Linked DNA regions of Oryzias latipes. The protein of the gene in region 1 purifies or fractionates together with the protein of each later gene. This does not show direct contact. Links are inferred from orthologs where the notes say so. Each region holds a gene or a part of one and is shown in the gene's direction. Other genes may lie near its edges. The genes, in order: vdac1, bsg, bcap31, atp5f1c, rab2a and sqstm1.

Region 1 (4,181 bases):
AAATCAGGCAGACATCTGTGAAGAGAATATTTTACTAGCAAGTAATTATTTAACAATTTATGTCTCTTTACCTAATAAACACGGCAATATTATGGGATTTTAGTATCTATTAAAAAATTGTATATCAAAACTTGTAAGAAGTTTTAATGAAAGCTAATTTGATATGAAAAGGAAAAATAAGAAATTAGAGTTGAAATGCTGCAAAAGAACAAAGAGTGGACTCTAAAAAACAAACAAAAGGAAGAAGAGTAGGATTTTACCCAAGAACCATCAACTCTAATTTAAGCAGGAAACGGAGGTTTTGACAACATTTTGGTAACAGCGACATCAACTGGTCAAATAATAGATTACAACCTGATTCCAGCCGTCTCCATCACAGTCCCCACCTCTGACTCCACCTCTTTTAAACCTTAAACTTCAGACAAAAAAAACACACAGCCACAACCTCATTTAATATATTCACTGCAATTTCTAGATTAATCAATAAACCTTTTTTCTTTTTGAAGTTGAGGATTTCAGTGAGTACTGTTGTGAGAGAGGAAGTTTCACCTGTGAATGGTTTTGCTTTCTCACATTTAGTCCTAAAAACATGTGAAACAGTATTGAAACAAAACAAAAATGGGTATGACTGGGATGGAGATGTCCAAGTTTTAAATGAAATTTTATTTTAGAGCTGAAAAGAAGTATCCCTTAACAATCTCCAAGAATCATTTTTTTAGTTGTAAATTATATTTTGATGCAGTAGTTATATAAGCTATTATATGAGCTAATTGTTAATGTTCTATTGCAAGTTTTTTTTTATTTTATCTTAATTTTAGATATCCAGTGATGAGTCTTTTTATGCTGTGTCCTGTGAAAAGCAAGACAATTTGAGGAAGGGAAAGAAAAGCTATTTACCAATTCTTCTTTTGAGAATTTCTTTTGCTAAATGTGATATCCTATTTCAGTAGTTGTTACTAACAAAACACCTGTTTAAATTTTTAAAAGTAAAAAAAAAATTTACCATTCAAAAAAAACAAAAACAAATAGAGATAACTCTTTTTTAGCTGGTTAAAATGCTTTTTAAACACAAACGTTAGTCTGCAGAGTTTTACCTGCTCTTTTTAAAAAAATCTATGTATCACATTTTATTCTTTGCAAAGGTCCTCATCATTACTATTTGTTAAAAGTGAAGTGATTCGTTTGGAATTTGTTTTAGGAAAATTACTTGATGAAATTCTAAGAGTACAAAAGAATTAAACAGTCAAAATAATGTGACTGATTTAATCTATGTAATGTCATTAAATACATGTATAAAAAGAAGATAGTGTCCACTAACATTTGGCGCTTCAAAAAAAAATTGGAGTGAGCTGTCTTGCAATGAGAGCCCGAATTGGATCTTTGTTTATGACGACATGCTGTCGGAGTTTGCGTGATTTTCAACGTGCGCGTGACGCTACCCCTCTCCCTCCCCTGTCGTTGTGCAGTTGACAATTCTCAGTTCAGGCTGTTCCACGGAGGTAGGCGTTTTAGACTTTCCTCTGAATATTATTTAAAAATGGCGTCGTTTGACCGCAGCTGCTCCTGGCTGTTACCGGGGCCGCGCCTCGCCGCGGACTCCCGGGATGGTCCCGCCATCCTGACGTTTGGAACGCAGCAGGATGGTTAGGCCCTCTGCTTTTATAAGCCATCTCTGCGGCTAGCTTTGTGGCTAATGTCTCGCACTGCGGTCAAAAAAACTGCTTTGCTGTTTGGAAAATCGTGTGTCTAATTTTCACTTTAAATTCTGCAGTAGCTAATAACGGCTTCTTCTTTTGAAGCTTGTACTTTATTATATTTGTACCCACTTTTATTTCTGTTTTACGTCATTAAACAGCGTGCTAATCGGTTAGCAGGCGAGGTCAGGAGGATGCTCTCCTCTTAACCTTCATTTCAGGGAAATGTTCACCTTCGTGGTGTTTTTTAGGAGAGCAAAATCAATGCAAAACACTTTCCAGGAATCACTTTTCTTCCTGGCTACTGCTGTATGTCTTTAAAAAACGCATGAGTGATGCTGAAGGACGTTCGGAAGCCGGCTCAAAGTTAAGCTAAAGATGTTATGAGTGGTCCCTGCCTGTCGTGTTAATATTATTGCAGGGTCCTTTTCCTTTTTTCTTTCACATTTGTTGAAAAACGGTCAAATAAAAGCAGTTTAGGTTTTGTGGAGGGAGTGTCGTGTCTTTGACCTCGTGCGTCCTCTCTAGGGTTCGGACATTTCTGCGTGAAGCCTCGCCAGCACGCGGCAGACACAGCAGGTGTACCAGTGCAGACGGCGTGTCTGAGCATTGCGAGTGGGTCTGAGCTGCTTAATGAATGGGCTATTTCCAGGGGGAAGCTGGGGCATCACATGAATTATACTAGTCAGTTTCCTGGCTGAGGTTTCACATCTATGTTAAGAAGGACTGACAGACTTTAGCAATGACACCAGAACAACCCAAAACTAATGATGGGATGTTTGAAAATGACGTAAAAAGGAATAGAGCAAACATAAAGGACTTAATGTGGTAGTTGTTTGCTGCATTTTGAATTGAAAATCTACTAAAAGCATAAAATAGGACTTGTGATGGCTGCTGATTGGCTCCCGTGAAGTGCTTAATGCTGTTTAATACAAAGCTTTGATTTCAGCTGGGGTCCACTTGAATACCAATCTGCTGCTTCAGATCTCAATGAATTATTTAAAAAAAAAACACCTGCAAATTTAGTTGGAGTTTTCAGGATCCAGCTGCCATTCGCTCAGCTTACCCTTGAAATTCGTGTCATATCTACTAGATATTACGTTGTCGCTAACTCTGCACAAGTCCTTATTTACATTTGTGCTCTGTAAATGGGTCTCTTTATGTGGGGGCGATTATGAAATATTTGCATGACTGGTTTTGAAAGAGGTGGACAAAGAACTGGTCTGTGCCAATGTCTGAGTGCCGCCATGAAGCGGTTGGCAAAGAATCTACCCAGCAACCACCATGGTCCTCATGAACTTCTCTGTTTTACAGAGTTTCAGATATTTGTTTTCAACTACTCTTAAAGAGGTTTAAAAATACTTGGTTGAATCTTCGGTGGTATTCAGACTGGATACATTTGGTCTGCTTAAAGTGAACCAGAGTTCGTTTCCCCACGATATTCTGGAACAAATTTTCAGTCTGAATGCACCCAACTAGTGGATCCTGCTTCAGGACCAGGAACTGCTCTTGGACCATTTTTAAGGTGGTCTTGGTTTGTTTACAGTTTGACTGAGCTTTGGTTCCATTCTGATGCATCTGCCCTAAGTTTTCCTCAACTGAGCTGGCATCCGGCTCAAAACTGTACAGCTAGATAGCTCGAATATTGTTAGCCATTTTTATTATTAGGTTGGGGTTGTAAGCTTCCGAGATCGCCTATAAACAGATGGATGATAGGCATAAACCATGTCATAGAAATGAAAAGACCCCTGGGGAAGCTTTTAATATGGTTTAAAAGATGATCAGAGCAGGTCTTTAAAGTTAAGCTTTTACTTCTTTCACCTGTCCCGTCATCTTCCTGTTACTCTCAATCCGTTCTCAGGCTACACCTGCTTTTTCTTTTGTTTTCAGAAAATGGCTGTACCTCCCACCTATGCTGACCTTGGAAAGTCTGCCAGGGATGTCTTTACAAAGGGATATGGTGAGCCCTTATTAGCCAATCAGAATTCTCCAAGGTTTGGATTACAGTTGAGATTAAAAAACAAAAAGTCTGGATTTCATGTAAAATAAAAGTAGCTATAACACTTGTTGGGATTATTGTAATTTTCCAGGACTATTAATACAAACATCACCTCTTATTTAAATAATCTTTCCTTGTTTCGTTGCTCGTCTTTATTGTGGTGTGAAGTAATCCCCAAAACGTTTTTAGAACCGTCTAGTTTCTGTATAAAAATGTAACCTGACTGTAACCTGATGGGTGTATTGGGTCCATGTTACAGAACCTGCTCTGACAAAAGCCAGGGTAGAGCTATGTTTGTGTATAAATAGACAACCACTGATTTTCCATTGACTTCAATTAAGTCCCTTTAAATAGGGTGTTGCACATAGACAGTTCTGTAAGAATGCCTTGAACAAACATCTCAACAGCTGCAAAGGCTGTGACATGATATAAGAGCTTTTATCTGATTCAGTTGTCATTTATCAGACATGCTCATTAAACCTTTTTCA
Region 2 (3,500 bases), on another chromosome or scaffold:
CTCAGTTGTGAGAAGACGATAAAAAACAAATTGAAGTGGTCTTGGCTGGAAAAAAAAAAAAGATTTTTAAGGTAGTGTAGGTCAAATACTTTTTTGTGTAAAATAATCTCAAAACCACATTTTGAAATAATTTCAATTTTAGTTTTGAGTTTCAGTTTTTATTTTGAATACATTTCTTTATCTAATTTATTTGTATTTCCTAATTACCACGATTTAGTTCAGTATAGTTGACATTCTTCTTCTTCTTCCACTTTCGGCTTCTCCCATCAGGGGTCGCCACAGCGAACAAGTCGCATGGTAAATTTGGCAATGTTTTACGCCGGATGCCCTTCCTGACGCAACCTTCTCAAACTGGGCTTGGAACCGGCAAAGGTAGAGAAGGGAACAGGGAGCAGCCCGGAGTCGAACCCGGGTTTCACGGACGGAAGGCGCCACAAACCATAGTTGACATTAATTATAAGTATTTGATGGTTTGGACCCGCACTCCCTTAAAAAATAATGTTTACAATGTTTAGCTTAGTTTGTATGTTTGTTTTGATATTTCCCAGATTACTTAGTATTGGTGTTAAAGAATTGATGTATTATGTTATAGAATTATAGTTTAAAGCAGATCCCATATTTTGATGTAATTATAGTTTGAGAAAACAGTGCAAGTGGATGTTGTACATCAGTCATTTCTAAAGCAGAAATAATGTATAAATAACTGAGGTATTTTCATAGAATATCATAGTTACTGGTGTTCTTTTTGCCATTTGGGGCTTTGATGTTACTATATTTTAGCAATTGTATGTTTTGCAGCTTTAAGGAAAAGCGTAGATTGTAGGATTGTGTTACTTTGAGCAATTTTCCAAATTCTTTTTTAGGACCAGCAAGTCTTTAATGGAGAGTCAAACTAGGGGTTTGAATGACAAATCATGATGCTCCAATTAGTCTTAGTTTCTTGATAAAGAAGTGAATAACTAGCTGCCAGAATGCACCAGAATGCATCTAAGACCACGTATTTTTCCAAAATTTCGCTCTGTGCCCGCCATATCGCTCAAAGAAAAGTTCAGGGATTTTTTCCTTGCCTGACTTTCATCACTGCAGTTTGTTAAAGTAAAACGCATACTTTTGATGTTTTAAAAACAAAAGTTGTTAAATGTCTAGATTTACGCTGCTGTTAGGTGGAAAAGGTTCTTTTCCTCTTACTAACACTGGAAACGTTCCTTTTTCCTCTGCTTATAGACATTTTTCTAGTTTAGATTCCCATTAGCTCAGAAGAAGACAACAGACTGTAAAATATGTGCATCCACACAGCATTTTTCTTTCTGTCTTCCCGCTTGTATTTGAAATAAAACATTTGATTTAAGGTTAAATTGCTGTGCTGTAACCTCTACTGTTTAGCAAACTTTGTTGCTTCTTCTGCATGTATTGAAGACACCTCACACACACACCCTCGTGACCCTTCTGTAGCATTGTTTCCACTTCCCTTTTTGTTTTGTCATCAACTGGAGAAAGCTCGTCACTTGGAGGAGCTTTCTCCATCTCCTCCTTTGAGTAGAATAGGATGAATAGCAACAACCGTCTGTTGTGGCCCATATTTACACATTAGTTACTGTAAATATGGAACGATTTGGAACGGCCAATGCTTGTGTTTAACAACATTCACGTGGGTGACATAAATGGTGATTATACAGCTGTGTATGGAGCTGTTTTATATGGTCTTTTTTTGTTTTGTTTTGTGAAGAGCCACGTATCTTGAAATCTCCTGATGTGGTCAACCAGACTTCTGCCAGTCTCAGCTGCAACTTGACCAGCACTAGCCTCCAAAGTTCTGGATCCTTCTGGACGCACAACGGCAAACTCATTGATGGTTCAAAGTCTGCTTCTGCTACTAATTATGCAGTTCATCGGTAAGAAAATGCAGCAGCTAAAAGCTGAATGGGAAGATGTGCAGTTTCTCTTGTCATTGAATTTCCTGTCCAACTGAAATGGTTTACAAAAACGCATTCCTTCAACGAGAATGTATACTTTCTAGACTTTCTCTCTCATCAAAGTGCTGTTGCATCATCTAGTTTTCTATCTCTGGTTTGCTGCTCCCAACTATTCTGCCTCTGGTTGCATCCATGATGTATAGATGGACCGTGAAGACATTCGGCTTCACTCCAGGGCAAAGGGCGCCAATTTTTTTCCTGACCTTAATTTCCTATTTACATAACAAAAAGGCTTACTATAAGTACACTATATTTGTGTTTTAAGCCGAAGGGAAAAAAATACTGTTTGAAAAAGATCGTATTTCTGATGTAGAAATCGTGCTAGGTGAGCCACTGCGGCAATTTTTAATGACTTCCTGTCGCTCTGCAGAAACTCTTACATTTGGACCAAAAACACCACACTCATGGTAAAAAGACAACTGAGATCACTTTGAAAATTAGGGGTGTAACAGTACAAGTTAAGCTGAACTGTTTCGGTATGGCACGTTTTTGTCCGTGCCCTATACTCTGCACGACCCCATGCAGTCTCAAAGAGCATACAAGCTGTTTTTTTTAACTTTTTTGAAATTTTGAACACATACAAACTTCGTAACAACATTAACGTCACTTCTCTTCACAGCTCCCTGTCTAAAGGCCCGTACACACCGGGATGAATATTCGCCAGGCGTTATTCGCCAGCGTTTTTCGCCACGTCTTTTGTGTTCACACCCAGGCGATTTTCGCTGACGATGAGCCGAGCGTGCATGAACATGCAATTTCCTTCCCTGACATTAGATGGCGCTTAATGTAAACAGAAATACTCCTGTACACAAGGTGGCGCTGCGCAACTTTAGGCTTCTTAAAGTCGCTTTTCACTCAGAAGAAGAGAGCAAGTATTTACGCGCTAGTCAGAATAATAAAAAGAAAACATGAATATTTCAAGCACCAGTAGCTCCAACTGGTACTTGGTAAGGGATATTTAAGAATGTCCGTCATTATTTCTTCGCGGCAGTGTAGACGCTACTTGACGTCTATCTTCTTCGCTGGTATGTGTGCTCAGCAAGGCAGTTTTGTGTTTGAGCGCCCCCAAGTTGTGTTTTACTGTAACTTCAGAAGCCCCAGACACGTGTGCAAAAGCGCCATTCTCATTGGTCGAATAGATGTCGCGTCGAAAAAACAAACAAACCCGAGGCGTTTTTTTTTTTGACGCTTTGACGCGTGGCGTTTTTTCGCGTCGGTGTGCACACTCACATTGGTGCCCTTTGTTTATTCACGAGGCGTTAAACGTCCCGGTGTGAACGGGCCTTTATGGTGAGGGATTCAACACACAAGATACCACACTTCCTATGAGTCTTAGTGGCTATAGGCGGGGCTAACCCCCAGGTCGCCACAGTATTATCCTTGCACAGAGGCGCAACTAATGTTAGCCGTGAGTTTCTGCAAAGATGCTATTAGGTGACGGACAGTAAGCATGTCAACATATGGCTAATGCAGATGTGAGGCCAGAGATGAGCACCCCCCCCCCCCCCCCCCCATCTCCTTACGCTC
Region 3 (3,500 bases), on another chromosome or scaffold:
TGGAATTCAGCTTACTGCTTCGTCATAATCGTTTCCTTCAAATGGCTTTTGAAATTCCATCATTTTCTATCCCACTTTGTGCTCTGCAGAGGTGGGAGGAGCCAGCACTTATGTCTGGGATATCGGCAAATGATACTTAGGTAGAAGGAACTTTTCTTAAATCTGGCATCATTAGAAATCAGATGTTCTGTGACAAAAATATCCAGCAGCTTTCTTTCATGATTGCAGCAGAACAGCACTGAGGGTGTGGACCCCCACTTAAGAAGGGATGGAAAAAGAGCTGCAACTCTGTTTGCCAGAGGCATGATGGGATTGTTCTAGAGTGATCATATGGCTCATTCCGTTCAGTGTGGAGGTTTAGTAACTCGATGAAAAATCATGGGAATCCTGATATTTAACAGTTTTAGCTCTGACTTCTTGAATGTATATTTAAACATGTTCTAATGCACATGTGTCAAACTCAAGGCCCGGGGGCCAAATGTGGCCCTCCATTTTAATTTATGTGGCCCGCAAGAGACATAAGAGTTTTTAATTTCTTAAAATAAAAATGTTCTTTAGTTTATTACATATTATGTATGTGTAGCTGTTGTAATTGTTCAATGTTTGCAGGTCTGTATGCAGAAAAATTGTTGTCATCAAACCATCAGTTGGATGCAAAGCTGTGTGCAGCCTTTTTTTAGTAAAATGTTACACTATAACACATGTTCTTTTTAGCTCAGTTTTCTCTTATTTTTTTTCATTCACTTGGACAGTTTGATCCTTCATTAATGGAGTTATGTGGGTTTTAATAAACGGACAAAATGTAAAAGCATTTTTGCTAAAGTAACAAGCAAACATATGTTTTCTATGCAACTGTATTTGTCACTTTAAAAAGTTATAATAAATAAATAATGAGTTGTTTAACATTAAGGAGTAGTTACATTTATTTTTCATTACATTTAGTTACAGGTATAAGTTATATCTGGCCGTTTGAGGACAGCCACTATGCTGATGTAGCCCTCAGTGAAAATGAGTTTGACCCCCTGATGGGCAGAGTCCCAGCTGGTTGGAACTGTCTGCACTGGTCCTCTCAGGCTTCTGTCTTCACTTCTGTTCTTTCCACTCTCACAGGTGGAGCAAGGTCTTCAAGTCTCGCATCCTTCAGACCATCGCTCTCTATGGAAACACCTGGTTCATGGTGGCCATCGCCATCCTCGTCTTCCTTCTCATCGGTATGAGACTGTGTGAAGACAAAGGAAACGTACAGCTGCTGATGGCTGCGTTATGTTGACCTCTGACCTTAAATACCTTGATCAGTCTAAGGAGGATTGAAAGCTGAGTCTGACAACAGATTTTTTGTTTTTGTTTCTCCGTGTGAGGTATTAACCTGTTTTTTTGACACCAATAAGTTTGTGCAAATACCTAAAAAAAGAAGATACTTTTAAATAAAGTGAGAAAAAAGTCATTGAAATCGTTAAATGGCGCTTCTACATAGATAAATGGCACAATTAAAGATTTTACTCTTTTTAAAAAGTATTTTAGAAAGACAATTTTGATCAGAAAATAATTATCCTTGTTTTATTTAACGTATTGTCCAAAACTATAACATACAGCAATGCTTTTGGAAAAAGAATAAATAAAGAGGATTTTCTATTATGACGGGCAGACGTGCTCCAGTATGCAGCGGTTGAAGCAAAGCCCTCCTGGCTCTGCCTGCAGGGTGGAGAACCCTTCAGCCATGAACCGCCGTGAAGGAATCCACAGCCTCCTTTCTCCAACAGATCTCTGTTTGCTCCTCTGTCCGTCTCTGATGTGGCAGCAACGTTCTGAGGAGCGTGGGGCACTTGTAGCTTTCTGCCCTCCAGGGGGCGCTGCACTTTGAATGAGGAAAGCTTTTTACCTTTCTTCAGTTTAAAAGAAAAGCTCAGAGCTGTGAGCACCGTAACCATCCAAACATTCTCCAGATTTCTATGAAAAAAATGCTGTGAATTTAAAACACAGAGACGTAGCTTAGACTGCATGGAAGAGTGGACGTGCAGTGAACAGTGATGGCTTTATCACCGTTGTTTGAAAAGGTAATTTAGCTTTATGCCATAATGGAGGTGAATACTAGATGCTGATTGGCTGCAGGATGTCCATTAAGTAAGGGCTAATGCCTGACCTAAAGAGTCTGTTATCATAAATTTACGATAACGGACACTTTAGGTCAGGCAGTTTTCCTTACTTAACTCTCCCCTCTTTGTTTACTGGCAGCTGCAGTGTGGTGATGCTGCTCTATCCGAACACAAACGCACAACTACAACAGCTGAGCGCTCGCTGTGATTCAACAGTGACGTCCTACACGCTCAATGCCTGAGACCTGGTAGAAGCAGTTTCCAGTTTGCCAAACACATTTTTGCCATCCAGTTTCATTGAAACAAGTCAGAATCGATTAGTTTCTTCATGTTTCTCATCTTCTGTAGAAGAAGTTAAAGGGAACTGTCATTGATGCTGCGTTCACCGGGCTCTGCGATGCTCGTTCAAGCGACCACTTCCAATGAAAAGTCTACGTAACATATATGCACGTTTCAGGCTTCTGTGCTTAAAACGCTTGTGTTCAGGCGTAGCTAAGCAATTTTGTTTGTCCGCTTTCGAGCTCTACATACAAAACCTGCTGCCATTGAACATGTGTTGAAAGTTAAACCAGTTGAACTTTGACTAATCGGGGATTCTGATTTGACGGTGACGTGCGGGTAGCGTCCTTTCTAATCTCAGGGTGCCGACCGTTTGAAAATTGGTCATAAAGGAGGAATTAATGATTGCTGTTTGTACCCGGCCAGAATTCTGACACCAAGTCTCTCTAATATCAGAAAAATGTAGCAAGATGCACGTGATTTGCACTCCTTTGACATTTCGCACAAAACCTCCTCCTCCACATGAGCTAGTCGAATAGCGACAGCCTAGTGAGCACGTGCTAAAAGTGTACTCAAGAACCCGTGTTCAGCACGTTCTTGTTATGCGGGTCACATGTCCAATGTGTACTTACCTTGAGAGGTCTGTGTCGTTTCAAGCAGGCCATGTGGCCATCCTGTTTCCCAGCTTTCCCTAACTTACTGTGAACATTTCAAAAATACACGTTCACTGCAGCATCACGCCCTACTGAAACGATGAGGAGGAAAGAGCTTCTGTTCTTGTCAAGGATGAGTTTTTGACCCAAACTTTGAACAGCTGACCTTCAGGTTGTGCGTCAGCAGTGTGTGCGAGCGGTCACTGCATTGAAGGTGTGTTTGTGTGCAGATGCGTTCCGAGAGGTGAGGAAGTACAGTGTGTCGGACAAAGTGGACGTTACCAACAACCCAACCGCCATTGAGCACATTCACATGAAGCTTTTCCGAGCCCAGAGGAACGAGTACATCGCCGGCTTCGCCCTGCTGCTCTGCCTGTGAGTCTCCACACACTCCCACTCACCCATGGCACACTGATGGTATAGATCAGTTAATGTGTCTGCATTTCATTCAGATGACAGACGCGTTAATTTAAAT
Region 4 (4,020 bases), on another chromosome or scaffold:
GGGTGTTTAATATATTGTTCAAAGGCATAAAGACGTAAATAAAGTCATCGTCATAAAGGGAAACTGTGTTCTTAGGACTTAGTTTAAGTGCTTCTCTGAAGGGTATTTTTCTCACCAAATCGCCTCCTGAGCAGCTCCAGAAAGTCGCGTTTGAACTCACTGAAACAGACAGCAACAGACATGGTAAACATCTTTAAGGTGAGTGTTAAAGCTCCAGTTGGGATGGTTAGTAGAGGACTCACTCTGAGAAATAGTCCATGAACTTTGTGGGGTTTTCTGAGGCGAGCAGCAGCTGCCTCTGGTGGGACTCGGACATGCAGTGACACTTGAAGCCATTCTAGACCCCAAAACAGAACAAAATCACCGTTTAAACTCTCCAACAACAACCAAAGGTGTAAAATAAGATCATAATATAAAAATCTCACCTCGTCTCGACATTGTTTCTGACACATCTGACAATACCATCGCAGCTTCTGTAGACCTTTGGCTTTTATTCGGTTGCTGATCGATTTCGGGGTCAAAAACTCCGCTTTCCCCATTTTGATCTGTTAAAAAACACAATTAAACCTGTAAAAAATATCAAATCTGGGTATATTTTCCCGAATATTTTGAGATAAACCGAGGAAGCAAGCTAACCGTTTCCGCCGACAGACGTCACACTGTCGCAAAAGTACAAAATCCCGCGATAACAATTGATACCTTCATGGACTTCTCACGAGCTCCGGATTTTAAAAACTTCATACGCCAGAAGCAGTGTGATGAGTTTAAACAAGAAGAAAATCATTGTGCTTTTCTCAGTGATCTTATGAATGATATGGATTATTTAAAGCCTGTGTTTATTTAGCAATATTACAAAAAAGTTTTTGTTTACATAAAATTCTTTAAGGTTTTGATTTGCTTGTAGTTCAGTTATTTGTGTTAATATTTTCCTTTCTGTGCTAAACCTTAAATGCGCGATTTAAACATGCGTTTTGATTTGCTCTACCTGTTAAAATGATAAATAGGTAAAGACTCTGCTTAAGAGTATTTCTGTAAAAAAATAAAATATATAAAAATACATCAAATTTAATGGTTTTATATTAAGAAACGCGGGCTCATTTTTTCCAATCATTTTTATTTTAATGTCAATAAAAAAATTCACATGTGGACATATACAAAGAGCTTTTGATTTTGAAAACCAATGCAGGAAAAAGTTCCCAGTGGTCCTTGAAGTTATCATCCGACAAGCGTAGGCTTGCGCGTGCGCAGTTCTGGGTGTCTGACCTTCATCGCTGCAGCCATGTTCGCCCGGAGCAGCGCTTTGGTTTTCCTCCCACAATGGTAAACCCAAATACCATCAAACATCACATTTATTTTATTTTTATTGTCTTTTTAAATCAAACCTAAATTCTAAAGTGTTGTAGAAACGAAAATGTGGCTTATTGAATTCAGGATTTGCACATCAGTTGTACAAGGACGTGCTAAGAGAGGCAGGCCGCAGCTAATGAATGAAGCTAACTCAACCGGCTATGCTAATGACAGCGCTAACTTAATTTGCTGTAACTTTTGAAATGTAACACAAAGTCTATAAATAGATGCTGTATCTCTGTACATGTGTATTCCAACAGCAGATGCTTTTACAGTAGTTTTTTTCTGTTTGTTTTAGCCTTTTTGCGTTGCATTAGCGTTAGCTGCTAAGCTAATAAGGATACTACCTAGCAAATATCTTTAGGACGCCACAGTTCTTATATCATAAAATGCTACATGGTGTCTGCGAGAGGACAGAAAGTCCAGCTCTGCACTGAAATCTGTACATGAATGGAAGTGAATGAAACGCTAACGTGAACTGATTGTGTTCGCAGTGGGCAGGTCAGGAACATGGCCACCTTGAAGGACAGTAAGTGTTTATCCCCAAAGCTAAAATGCTCCATTTGGTTGTCTGTCTGCACGGTTTCATTGTTAAACAACTTTATGTCTTTACTTTTATTGTGAAAAATTACATATGTCAACATAACGGAGCATCTCTGAAGACTGTCATTCATTCGTGATGATTTCCTAACAAAATAAAAGCCTGGATTGTTAAGATGAACTCTTTCTGAGACTTATTTAGGTATAACTGAGCATCTCCAGGATGGTTTGATATAAAAATAAAAGCCTGTAATTTCCAGGTTACCCCTGAAGATTTAATTTAGTTATAACTGAGCTTTAGAAAGTAAAAACAAACAAACTGCGTAGTGAAAATTGTTATTGTTTCTTTTTTTTAGAGAAAAAAATAAATAAAACAAATGAACTAAATTAAACGATGTGACAGATGATTTCACTTAACCAATTATTAAAGTAAAGTGAATTCATTTCCTGAATTTGTAAAAAATAAATATGGATTTAATGTTATTTGTATTTTGCAAACCCATATCTGCTCGTTAACTAACTTGTCATGTTTTGCATCTGAAAGAACTTGAGAAGAAAAACTTAACTTGACGAATAAAGTTTTTACAAAGGCTTAATTGTGTTTCGTGTTTGATCATGTGACCGCTCTTCTCCTTTAGTCACCCTTCGGCTGAAGTCCATCAAGAACATCCAGAAGATCACAAAGTCCATGAAGATGGTGGCCGCTGCCAAATACGCCCGCGCTGAGAGGCAGCTGAAGCCGGCCCGCGTCTACGGCACCGGAGCTCTAGGTGTGTGTTGGCGGTGACGCCGCGGTTGCTGTGGCGGGCGCCGTGCTGAAAAACGTCTCTTCTTCTGCACGACAGCGCTGTACGAGAAGGCTGACATCAAGGCGCCCGAGGAGAAGACCTCCAAGCACCTGCTGGTCGGCGTGACTTCTGACCGTGGGCTCTGCGGCGCCATCCACTCCGGTGTGGCCAAGGTCATAAAGAGCGAGATCGCCAACCTGACCAGCGCCGGCAAGGAGGTGATGGTGGTCAACGTGGGAGACAAGCTGAGAGGCCTCCTGCACAGGTTTGAGAGGTTCTGACGGTTCTCTCAGGATTCAGACTCGCCTTGGCTTCATGATCCGTTGATCCGAGCAGAACCCACGGGAAGCACATCATCCTGAACTGTAAGGAGGTCGGCCGCATACCCCCCAGCTTCAACGACGCCTCCATCGTCGCCACCGAGCTGCTCAACTCCGGATACGAGTTCGACCAGGGCTCGGTCATCTTCAACAGATTCAGGTGTGGACCCCGCCCCTTTTATCTGGCGCATGCCACAAGTATTGCTTTGAATCCCGGACTAACTAACCCCCCCCCCCCCCCCCCCCCCCCCCCCGCAGGTCCGTCATCTCCTACAGGACGGACCAGAAGCCGCTGTTTTCCACGGACATCGTGGCCAACTCAGGTAGAAGAAACTCAACTTTGACCTTTCTCAGTCGGAGCCGCAGATCCCGAACGTGCCCCCCCCCTCTTCCACAGAGAGCATGGGGATCTATGATGACATCGACGCTGACGTGCTGAGGAACTACCAGGAGTTCGCTCTGGTCAACGTCATCTACCTGGCAATGAAGGAGTCTTCCACCAGCGAGCAGAGCGCCAGGATGACGGCCATGGACAACGCCAGCAAGAACGCCTGTGAGCCTCTTTCAGATCCGTTTTTTTTTTTAAATGTACTTCTTGTTGTGTTTATTTTTACTCACTGAGTTCATTTTATTGATCAAGTGTCGTTCTGTTTGAAAGCTGTCCGTGCACACGTGTTGGAGTGCACGTGCAGCTGCAGACAGACACTACTGAGCATGCTCGGGACGAGCATGTGTCATTCAAGGACTCGTACTTCATTAACATGTAGATGTTAAACGTGCTCTCGTGATCTATAATTAGTGGTTATTTAGTGAACAGGCCTGGCTACAGTTGATTGTAAATGAGCTTCAACCTGGAAGTCAACAGCCTCATGTGAAGCACAGGTTTCCTCCTCCAGGAACATCTAAATTTCACAACTTTTTAGTAGTTCATTGAAAACAGTGTTGGTCATAAAGGGTTGAACTGCATAAAAACTCATTGACTGAAGCTGAGGGGGGCGTGGCTACCTTAAACAAAGATTTATTTA
Region 5 (4,150 bases), on another chromosome or scaffold:
AAAAACAACAACACCAACGTTCAGTTCAGGTTCCTACAGAGTTTTGTGCTCCTTGTTCTGTTAATTTTTTTTTCTTGAATCATACAATTCTCATTAGTTCGCATGATATTACAATGTATTTTTGTTATCAGGAAGACTATGTCGGGATGACATCACATAATTAATAAATAAATTAAATGATAAAAGGTTATTTATATAATATTAATCATTTTTAATCTAACTTTTTATTCTGAAGCATGGGGGTGTAAACATCATGATTTGCAGCTGCTTTTCTTCAAAGCAGGACGACTGATCCGTATTAAGGAAGTGATAAATGGGGCAATGTATGGTGAGATTTTGGGCAAAAGCCTCCTTTGAGGCCCTCTGTGAGAGGATTTCGCATGAAGCATGTCTGGATCTTCCAGTATGACAGTGATCCCGAACACATCGTCCAAGCAATGAAGGAGTGGCAACAAAAAAAAAGCATATCAAGGTTCTGGAGTAGTCTATCCAGCCTCTGGATCTCAATCCAAAATAGAGAATCTGTGGAGGGAATTTAAACAGCAACAGCCCCAAAACATCACAGCTCTTGAGAAGATCTGTAAGGAAGAACGGACCAAAATAGCCGCTACAGTGCAAGCCTGTTGAATATTTCCAGGAAATACTTTGTCATTGAGGGTTTACAAATACTGAGGGGACATTTCTTTTCGACCAAATACTTGTTTTATAGATTTTATCTTCACCCTGTATAGACCCAAGCACGTTTTTTTTCTCCTTATAATTGCGTGGAGTCATGTTTTTTTCCTTTTTTTTTTTACATAGATGTTTTAGTCTGTTATTTGTAAGTATCTTTTTCTTCTTTTTATTGTATTTTTTTCTTTTTTAGTTTTTCTGAGCCACACAGGCACTACGTTTTCTGTTTGGTCCTTGTTTTCCCTTTTCTCTAAATACACAGCCTACAATTGTGGATTAAACTAACTGACCAAAGCTGGGTGTTGCTCATTCTTTTGTGCTTTCAGGACTTTCACATTACTAAAGTAAATACTATTATGAGTAGTCATTGTTATACCCTAAATTGATAATATAAGTTAATTGCAGTTTGTTGTACATTGTTCATTTTACATCATGTTTTACCTCTGCAGGTTTTAATGAAAGTATTAATGCTATTCAGGACTCGTGTACAAATCTGTTGTAAAATTACTTATGAAGAACAGTAGCATTAATCTTTAATGTGAAAAAAAGGTTGAAGGAAACTTTCACAAAACTTATCACGGGCATTTTAATAATATATTAACAAAACGAGATATAAAAAAATCACAAACACGAACACACACGACAAAACTCCTGAGCATGCCTTGAACGCATCATTGTGTAGCGTGGCGAGGGCGGAGCGTATGACGTCGAGCTGAAGCTCGAGCTGTTTATTGTTCCTTCCTGAGCACCGACAGAGAAAAACAAGCTGTCAGCTACTCATTTGATACGGTTCACGGCCCGTTTTACTAAGGTGTAACGGTTAAGAAAGCTGACTGTACAAAGCAGGTGCTATGGCGTACGCGTACCTCTTCAAATACATCATCATCGGAGACACAGGTAAGTAGCATCAAGTGCCAGCTAGACTCAGCGGTAGGCTATCTTTCAGTTAGCGGCTATTTCCGCAGTGTTGGATAGTCCAATGACGTGGTAAAAGCAGAGACGCAAGGGGTGGGATGACAGCTCCGATTTTCTCCCCCGTTTAATACATCCGAACCAAAACCAAAAAGAGAAATAAGAAAAATAAAAACGGTCGTTCCGTAACTAGCTCCCCCCCTCACCCCGGTGCCGTAGTAGCTGTTGACACCGGCAGACGTTGGGCCTTTTGTCTGCTTGCGTCGAGGGTGGGGGTGTTAGCCGCTAACTAGCATGCTAACTGGCTACACCTCTAGAAAAGATTACAAACAGCTGTCACGACAGCAAGTTAGCCTGTTTTTTCGTGTCAGTATACATAAAAATAAGTCGTAGCATTCAATTATTTTTGTTTCTGAAACATTATCTTTACTAGTTTTGGAATAATTTAAACTTAATATTAGACAGGGCCATGATAGCGTGAAGCTAAAGCTCGTAATAATTTTTCAAATGGCGTAGACAGAGCTTGTTGACTCTTAGTTTGACCACATCTATTTTCGCGGTTCACATGTCCCCACTATACTCGATTTCTGCTTTCTATTGGTAAACGTATTTATGGTTTGGTTACACAAATGTCTTCGAGTGTTATCCGCTTATTTTTTTGACAGATTGTATTGATGATGATGGGCCTGTTCAAATACACGAGCAGCAGGTGCATATGAAGAAGAACTGCTGTGACAAGAAAATCTAGAATCTTTAGTTTGACATAAGCAGATTCTCAGGAATGTGATGGGGACGTCTGATCTTTAATGGCTCAATCGGATAGAAATACCACGTTGGCTGAATGAAAATTAGACAGCAATTGAAGGTAAACACACCGAAAAATAAAACTTTAAAATCATAAACTAGCTCCAAACATTGTAGAAAAGATCCTTTCTTCTCTCTTCTGGACTACATGGTTCTTGCAGAAGAGGTTCATGTTTTTATTTGTTAATTTAAGAGGTTCATGTTTAGCTCGTTATCATTTATTCCTAGTTATCAAAGCTGTTTACAGCTCTGGCTAATATACCAGCTCAATTCGGAGGGTATTTTCAGAAAAACAGACCACACAGCTCACATCAGCGGGGCTAAGAGTCATCAAAATCTTGAAATGATAACCACAATATGTGAGTGTAAATTCTCCAGAACTCTCAGTTCTAGATTTCATAATGAAGATCCAGCGTAGAAAACTTGAACTGCAACTTTGTATATCCATTTTGGTTTAAACAGGTAATTTAAGGTTAATGGTTACCTTCTGGTGAAGGATTTTTACTTTACTGGGTCTTTAAAATTGTATAATTATTGCTTGGAGGAACATAAAACTGCAGTTCCAACTGCAGATTGTAATAATGAATCAAATCATGTGGTTTTAATAAAAATAACAGTAATTGCGTCATCAACAAAGGGGTTACTAGCTTGAAAAAAATTCCTTTTGCTCAGGTCATCAGCAGTAATTGGGTAAAACATTCTCTGTCTGAATTCACTCACTTCTCCCTCTTAAAAGACTATCCAGTGTCATTGATTTCACTTTTCACTTCAGTTTGGACCCATGATCACTACTTTTTGTAGTTTTTTTGTTGTTTTTTTAACTTAAAATATGATCTCACCCGTTTGTCAAAGTAAAAACCTTAAAAAATGTACATTCTACAAAGACTATTTATGAATCTATTGTGTTCTGATCATAAAAACTTAATGATTTATTTAAAAACAATGCATTCATTCAAATGACAAATTGTTCAAATGCAATGTATTGTTACCTGTTTTCGCCTATCCAGTGACCATCATGCACACTAGTTTTTTTGCAGAGGTTTCTTGGAAATTTCCAAGCCACTGGATTTTGGAATCATAGATTCATAGTGAGTAGTGTGTGAATTCTGACACTTTTTACTTTATTATAGATGGTAAAGTGACGAAAATATTGACGTTAATATACAGTGAAAAAAAATCATCACAATTGAAAATTTGAAATGTATCAGCATTGACAGAAGGAACATCGTCTTGGTAGTTTGGGGTAAAGTATTTTGATTTTACACATTCCTTTTTTAATGATAATTATAAATTGTTATTGGTATCACTTCTTTCTGTGCTGACAGGTAAAGAGACTATTTTTGACATAAATATTAAAGCCATGCTTTTCACTGGGCCACTTGTAATCACCTTTAATGTATCTTGTAAATCACAAACTAATTTCTCTGTGCGGATGCTAATTTGGTTATATGTAATGTGCTGTCCTGCATGCAGACATCCTGAGAAAGAAATCGTTTTCTTTGTACTCCTCGGCTGTATAAACTACACACTGAAGCATATCTTATGGAAATTTATCTGTTTTATGTTCATTTTTGACATCATAAATGAACTTTAAATCATTGGTGTTACAGGTAAATATCAAGGGATAGTGTTTAGGCTCTTGTTAATTTTTCATATCAGAAGTTTGATAAAAATTGTATTTCATTTTTATCCCCACTGAGTCCGTTTTCATTTAATTCCTTAAGAACAGAATTAACCTCATCTTTCATAAGAAAACTATAAT
Region 6 (4,099 bases), on another chromosome or scaffold:
TACACACAACTGAACAAAGCATGCAAATTCCCCATGTTGGTGAATTAATCATTAAGATTTGAAGAGAAGACCTAAAGGTGGACAGAATATCAGGAGATTTCCTCATAAACATTGACTATGAATTTATCATTACTGGTAGTTTACAGATGTAATCCATTTACTACACTTCTGAAAATTGTTTTTCTTTTTTTCCCTCTGAATAGGAAAAATAACTGAAGAATTTTAGACATCAACTCCCTCTCAGTGATCCAGGACAAATAATGGTAGACATGAAAAATGCTTACAGTTAACTAATCATGAGTATTTACTAGAATACAATATATTAGTCTTCATGCAGCTATTTTAACCTTCCATTAGGTCTCTTTGGCTTTAAACAAAAAACCCTGATGATTTCAATAAACAATGGCGTTGTAGTTTTGGTTTATTTATTTAAGTAAAGTTGTATCTTAGGTTTAGATTGTTCACTTGTCTTCGATGTTATAAGGCCTGATTATTTATTATTATTTTCTTGTGACAAACTTTTTTCCTTTTGACTTGGAAGTAATCTCTAAAACAATAATAATTTTAAAGAATAAATATTACATTATAACATTAACAAGAATAACATAAAAATGTAGGCTCCTCCTTGAACAGCTGAGAAAAAATGAATTACAAATTTCAAAAACATATAACGTTTTTTTTCTCCAAAAGAAAAAATCTAATGAAGTTTAACTGTTTTAAGGAAAAAAATTCCAATGTTAAATGAATTATTTATTTAAAATAACTGACATTTTATGGTTAGTTACTAATTTCTCTTTAATGAACTTCCATAGTTTTAAATTGAAAAGATTAAATTTTTTCCCTTGTTTAGTCTGAAACACTAAAAGTACTGAAGCAGTCTAGAACTTTCCTACTAATTCTAGAAGGATCCATTCCGATGGGCCACAGGTTTGATAAACACAGGAGGACGTCTCTAGGCGATTCATCGTTTCCGTGTTTTCATGGCCGCAGTCTGCCTTCTCACGGTGACTCCGCGATGTGTGTGAACTGTCTGCTGGGATCCTGATCACGTGACACACAAGACGGCCTCTGATTGGACCTCTGGAACCGGCGTTCCTTTTACACGGACCAATCCGCGGCTGCGCAACTGTTAACAGAATCACGTCACCTGCGGAAGTAAACATAAAAGAGGCTGAAATTTATCGCTGCGTCACAAACTGGGATTTTTCTTGGACTGTTCAAGTGACGGTTTTGCGTCTGTGTCTCGGTCCTGCTCCCGGTGTCAGAACTTTGTGGTTCGGAGTCCACAGCAGCAGCAGCATGTCTGTGACGGTGAAGGCTTACCTTCTGGGGAAGGACGAGCATGTGAAGGAGATCCGCCGCTTCGCGGTGGACCAGGACGTGTCCTGCAACTTCGAATATCTCAGCAAGAAAACCGCGGCGGTCTTCTCCAACCTGATGAACTCCTCCTTCAACCTCTTCTACAAAGGTGAGCCGCATGGGCCGGGTCAGACAGAGCCGGGATCCGCTGGGTCTGATCGGAACCGTCATACTCACTAACCTGGAACCGAACTTTTTGTCAATACTTTATTAAACAGCCGCAGTAACGCGGAAGACCAACTTAGAGAAACATTCGAGTATATAGAAGGACTGTAGACATTTGAATCTGTACAAACATAATCCGCCCACTGACTTATTTAAGAAACAGCTAATTTAAAGGGATTGCTGTCACGTGACGCATGTAGCCACGCCCACAAATTTCTGTCCTTTGATTTGTGCGCAATTGAAAATATTCAGTTGATCAGGAGGCCCGAAGTTTAGACCCCCCCCCCCCCCCCACACCCACACACAAACACAGGCGGAGTAGGTGGGACCTTATGACGTAGAGGGGAGGAGCTTCAGGTGTGATTCCGGTTTATATTTCAGATGAGGATGGAGATTTGGTGGCCTTTTCTTCTGATGATGAGCTGATGATGGGCCTGGGCTGCGTGAAGGACTCCACCTTCCGCCTCTACATCAAAGGTAAATGCACGGCCTCCTGTGTGAGATCAGAGTGACCTCCCAGCAGTCCTCCCTCACGGTTTTTTTTTTTTTTTTCTTCCTGAACTCTGACAGAGAAGAAGGAGCACCGCCGTGATTTCCCACTGCATGCCCTACCCCCTTTCATGTTTGGACACCCACCACCCCATGGCCCCCCTCATGCTCCACATCACGGCCCTCCCCCCGCCCTGCACCCTAACGTCACCTGTGACGGCTGTGAAGGGCCGGTTGTGGGAATGCGGTTCAAGTGCTCCGTTTGTCCCGACTACGACCTTTGCTCCACCTGCCAGGCTCAAGGGAAGCACACTGAGCACGCTTTGCTGCCCATCTGGCACCCCCTGCAGGTGAGTTACTCCATCTAACCATCTAATCGTCTTTCCACTTCTGTCTGGACATCGTGCTGATTTAAAAGAAAGGACTTTTTGGTCAAAGCCAAAATGCACTGACTGAACCAGAAACTGTGTCTGCAGTGGTTTCCCCGTGGAAAGTGGATGAAGAGAATGAGACACTGCATGTGGAACCAGAACCAGAATCAAAACCAAAACCCAGAGCAGCAGGAACAGCAGGACCAGCCAAGGCCATCAGCATCTTCGGGTGACGGTGGAGAACCATCAGGTGAGAGAAACTCAAAAAACGTTTGAGCCTAGGGCATTAACATGCTCCCACCTTAACCTCTGACCTCTGCAGCTTCCCAGGCTAGTGTGGACTTCCTGAAGAACATTGGGGAGGGGGTTGCCGCCATGTTGAGCCCCCTGGGTGAGTGTACATAGTGGAGTTGCTGTTTTTGGGGGACAGGCAGGAAGTGATGTCATGATTTCCATGCAGGAATCGACGTGGACATTGATGTTGAGCATGACGGGCAGAGGTCGAAGGTGAATCCACCCACTCAGGCTGGAGGGGGGGATGACAATGTGGCAATGGATGTAAACGAAGGGGAGTCTGCAACTGCTGAGAGGTCAAAGGTCAGTCTGTGTTCACTGATCAATGACTGAAATGAACGTGTCAACAACTGACCCTCGTCCCCACGTACACGCAGGCAAGCCGGGACTCTGACGAGGAGTGGACTCACCTGAGCTCCAAAGAGGTGGACCCGTCCACGGGGGAGCTGCAATCCTTAGACCCCAAGAACCACGAGTGCGAGCTGCCGTCGGGAGGGCAGCAGGGGCCCCCGTCGGGAGGGCAGCAGCCGTCGGTAGGGCAGCAGGGGCCCCCGTCGGGAGGGAAGCAGGGGCCCCCGTCGGGAGGGCAGCAGGGGCCAACAGGTCTGCGGGAGGCTGCGCTGTACCCCCACCTGCCTCAAGGTGAGTCTAGTTCTCACAAGTATCATTTGCTATGACTGTTGCCCTCTTGTAAGCTCCTCCCTCTGCCCCCCACAGAGGCGGACCCCCACTTGGTGGAGTCTCTGGCTCAGATGCTGTCGATGGGCTTCACTGATGAGGGGGGCTGGCTCACCAGACTCCTCCAGGCCAAAAACTTTGACATTGGAGCGGCTCTGGACGCCATCCAGTACGCCAAGCAGCCCCGCCCACCACAGTGACCGCACCAGCTGCTTTATTTAACCTGAGTTTCTATCTGTTCAACTGTTAATCAACTCCTTAACCTGTTTCTGTCTTTTATTAATCTGTTTCTGAACAATAAAAACATGAAGGAATCCGAGTGGGTGGAGTCTTGATACACACCTGTACTGCCAAGTGCACAGCAGGCTGCTTTTGAGAACCAAAACAGTCCAAATGAAACACTAAATGTAATTTTATATCACCTGTTTCCACGGCAACACCTCCACCAGCAGCACACTTGAACCAGACTACACATAGGAGCTGCTAGAAGTCAATACTGAAGTCTTCCTCAGTTTCGAACAGGGAGGAAACACTGAGTCCTGGGTGGGGCATGTTGGGGGCTTGACTCCGCCCACAAGCTGGAGGCTCCTCCTCTTGGATTTCGGAATCAGATTTGAGAGAGCAGGCTGAGCTAAAGGCGCGGGGATGGAAGTGAGCTTCATCAGCAGAACGTCTCATTGCTGGACCAATCAGCTGCAGATAAAGAACACAGTAGTGAAAGTTGGATGACAGAAACACCAGAA

The links.
Region 2: the proteins of vdac1 (region 1) and bsg purify together in Homo sapiens (affinity purification with mass spectrometry; 3 studies listed by BioGRID, with this or other methods). This does not show direct contact. The link is inferred for Oryzias latipes from reciprocal best matches to the Homo sapiens genes VDAC1 and BSG.
Region 3: the proteins of vdac1 (region 1) and bcap31 purify together in Homo sapiens (affinity purification with western blotting; 3 studies listed by BioGRID, with this or other methods). This does not show direct contact. The link is inferred for Oryzias latipes from reciprocal best matches to the Homo sapiens genes VDAC1 and BCAP31.
Region 4: the proteins of vdac1 (region 1) and atp5f1c fractionate together in Homo sapiens (co-fractionation; 3 studies listed by BioGRID, with this or other methods). This does not show direct contact. The link is inferred for Oryzias latipes from reciprocal best matches to the Homo sapiens genes VDAC1 and ATP5F1C.
Region 5: the proteins of vdac1 (region 1) and rab2a purify together in Homo sapiens (affinity purification with mass spectrometry; 3 studies listed by BioGRID and IntAct, with this or other methods). This does not show direct contact. The link is inferred for Oryzias latipes from reciprocal best matches to the Homo sapiens genes VDAC1 and RAB2A.
Region 6: the proteins of vdac1 (region 1) and sqstm1 purify together in Homo sapiens (affinity purification with mass spectrometry; 3 studies listed by BioGRID, with this or other methods). This does not show direct contact. The link is inferred for Oryzias latipes from reciprocal best matches to the Homo sapiens genes VDAC1 and SQSTM1.

The regions. Positions count from the first base shown.
Region 1 is NC_019872.2:4,158,087-4,162,267, forward strand, and holds the start of vdac1 (voltage-dependent anion-selective channel protein 1), read left to right. Parts: upstream 1-1,381; 5' UTR 1,382-1,499; intron 1,500-3,584; 5' UTR 3,585-3,587; coding exon 3,588-3,654; intron 3,655-4,181. UniProt on the Homo sapiens protein: Non-selective voltage-gated ion channel that mediates the transport of anions and cations through the mitochondrion outer membrane and plasma membrane.
Region 2 is NC_019862.2:7,117,246-7,120,745, forward strand, and holds part of bsg (basigin), read left to right. Parts: intron 1-1,726; coding exon 1,727-1,892; intron 1,893-3,500.
Region 3 is NC_019865.2:31,911,399-31,914,898, reverse strand, and holds part of bcap31 (B-cell receptor-associated protein 31), read left to right. Parts: intron 1-1,110; coding exon 1,111-1,211; intron 1,212-3,255; coding exon 3,256-3,400; intron 3,401-3,500. UniProt on the Homo sapiens protein: Functions as a chaperone protein. Is one of the most abundant endoplasmic reticulum (ER) proteins.
Region 4 is NC_019881.2:22,190,559-22,194,578, reverse strand, and holds the start of atp5f1c (ATP synthase subunit gamma, mitochondrial), read left to right. Parts: upstream 1-1,220; 5' UTR 1,221-1,279; coding exon 1,280-1,320; intron 1,321-1,841; coding exon 1,842-1,876; intron 1,877-2,525; coding exon 2,526-2,657; intron 2,658-2,732; coding exon 2,733-2,940; intron 2,941-3,011; coding exon 3,012-3,155; intron 3,156-3,253; coding exon 3,254-3,318; intron 3,319-3,392; coding exon 3,393-3,548; intron 3,549-4,020. Other genes in the region: kin (DNA/RNA-binding protein KIN17), read right to left, coding at 116-159, 243-337, 426-539.
Region 5 is NC_019875.2:20,930,226-20,934,375, forward strand, and holds the start of rab2a (ras-related protein Rab-2A), read left to right. Parts: upstream 1-1,350; 5' UTR 1,351-1,523; coding exon 1,524-1,569; intron 1,570-4,150.
Region 6 is NC_019868.2:3,816,862-3,820,960, reverse strand, and holds sqstm1 (sequestosome-1), read left to right. Parts: upstream 1-1,299; coding exon 1,300-1,468; intron 1,469-1,905; coding exon 1,906-2,001; intron 2,002-2,094; coding exon 2,095-2,363; intron 2,364-2,489; coding exon 2,490-2,634; intron 2,635-2,706; coding exon 2,707-2,775; intron 2,776-2,844; coding exon 2,845-2,981; intron 2,982-3,055; coding exon 3,056-3,320; intron 3,321-3,395; coding exon 3,396-3,556; 3' UTR 3,557-3,670; downstream 3,671-4,099. Other genes in the region: mrnip (MRN complex-interacting protein), read right to left, coding at 3,840-4,049. UniProt on the Homo sapiens protein: Molecular adapter required for selective macroautophagy (aggrephagy) by acting as a bridge between polyubiquitinated proteins and autophagosomes.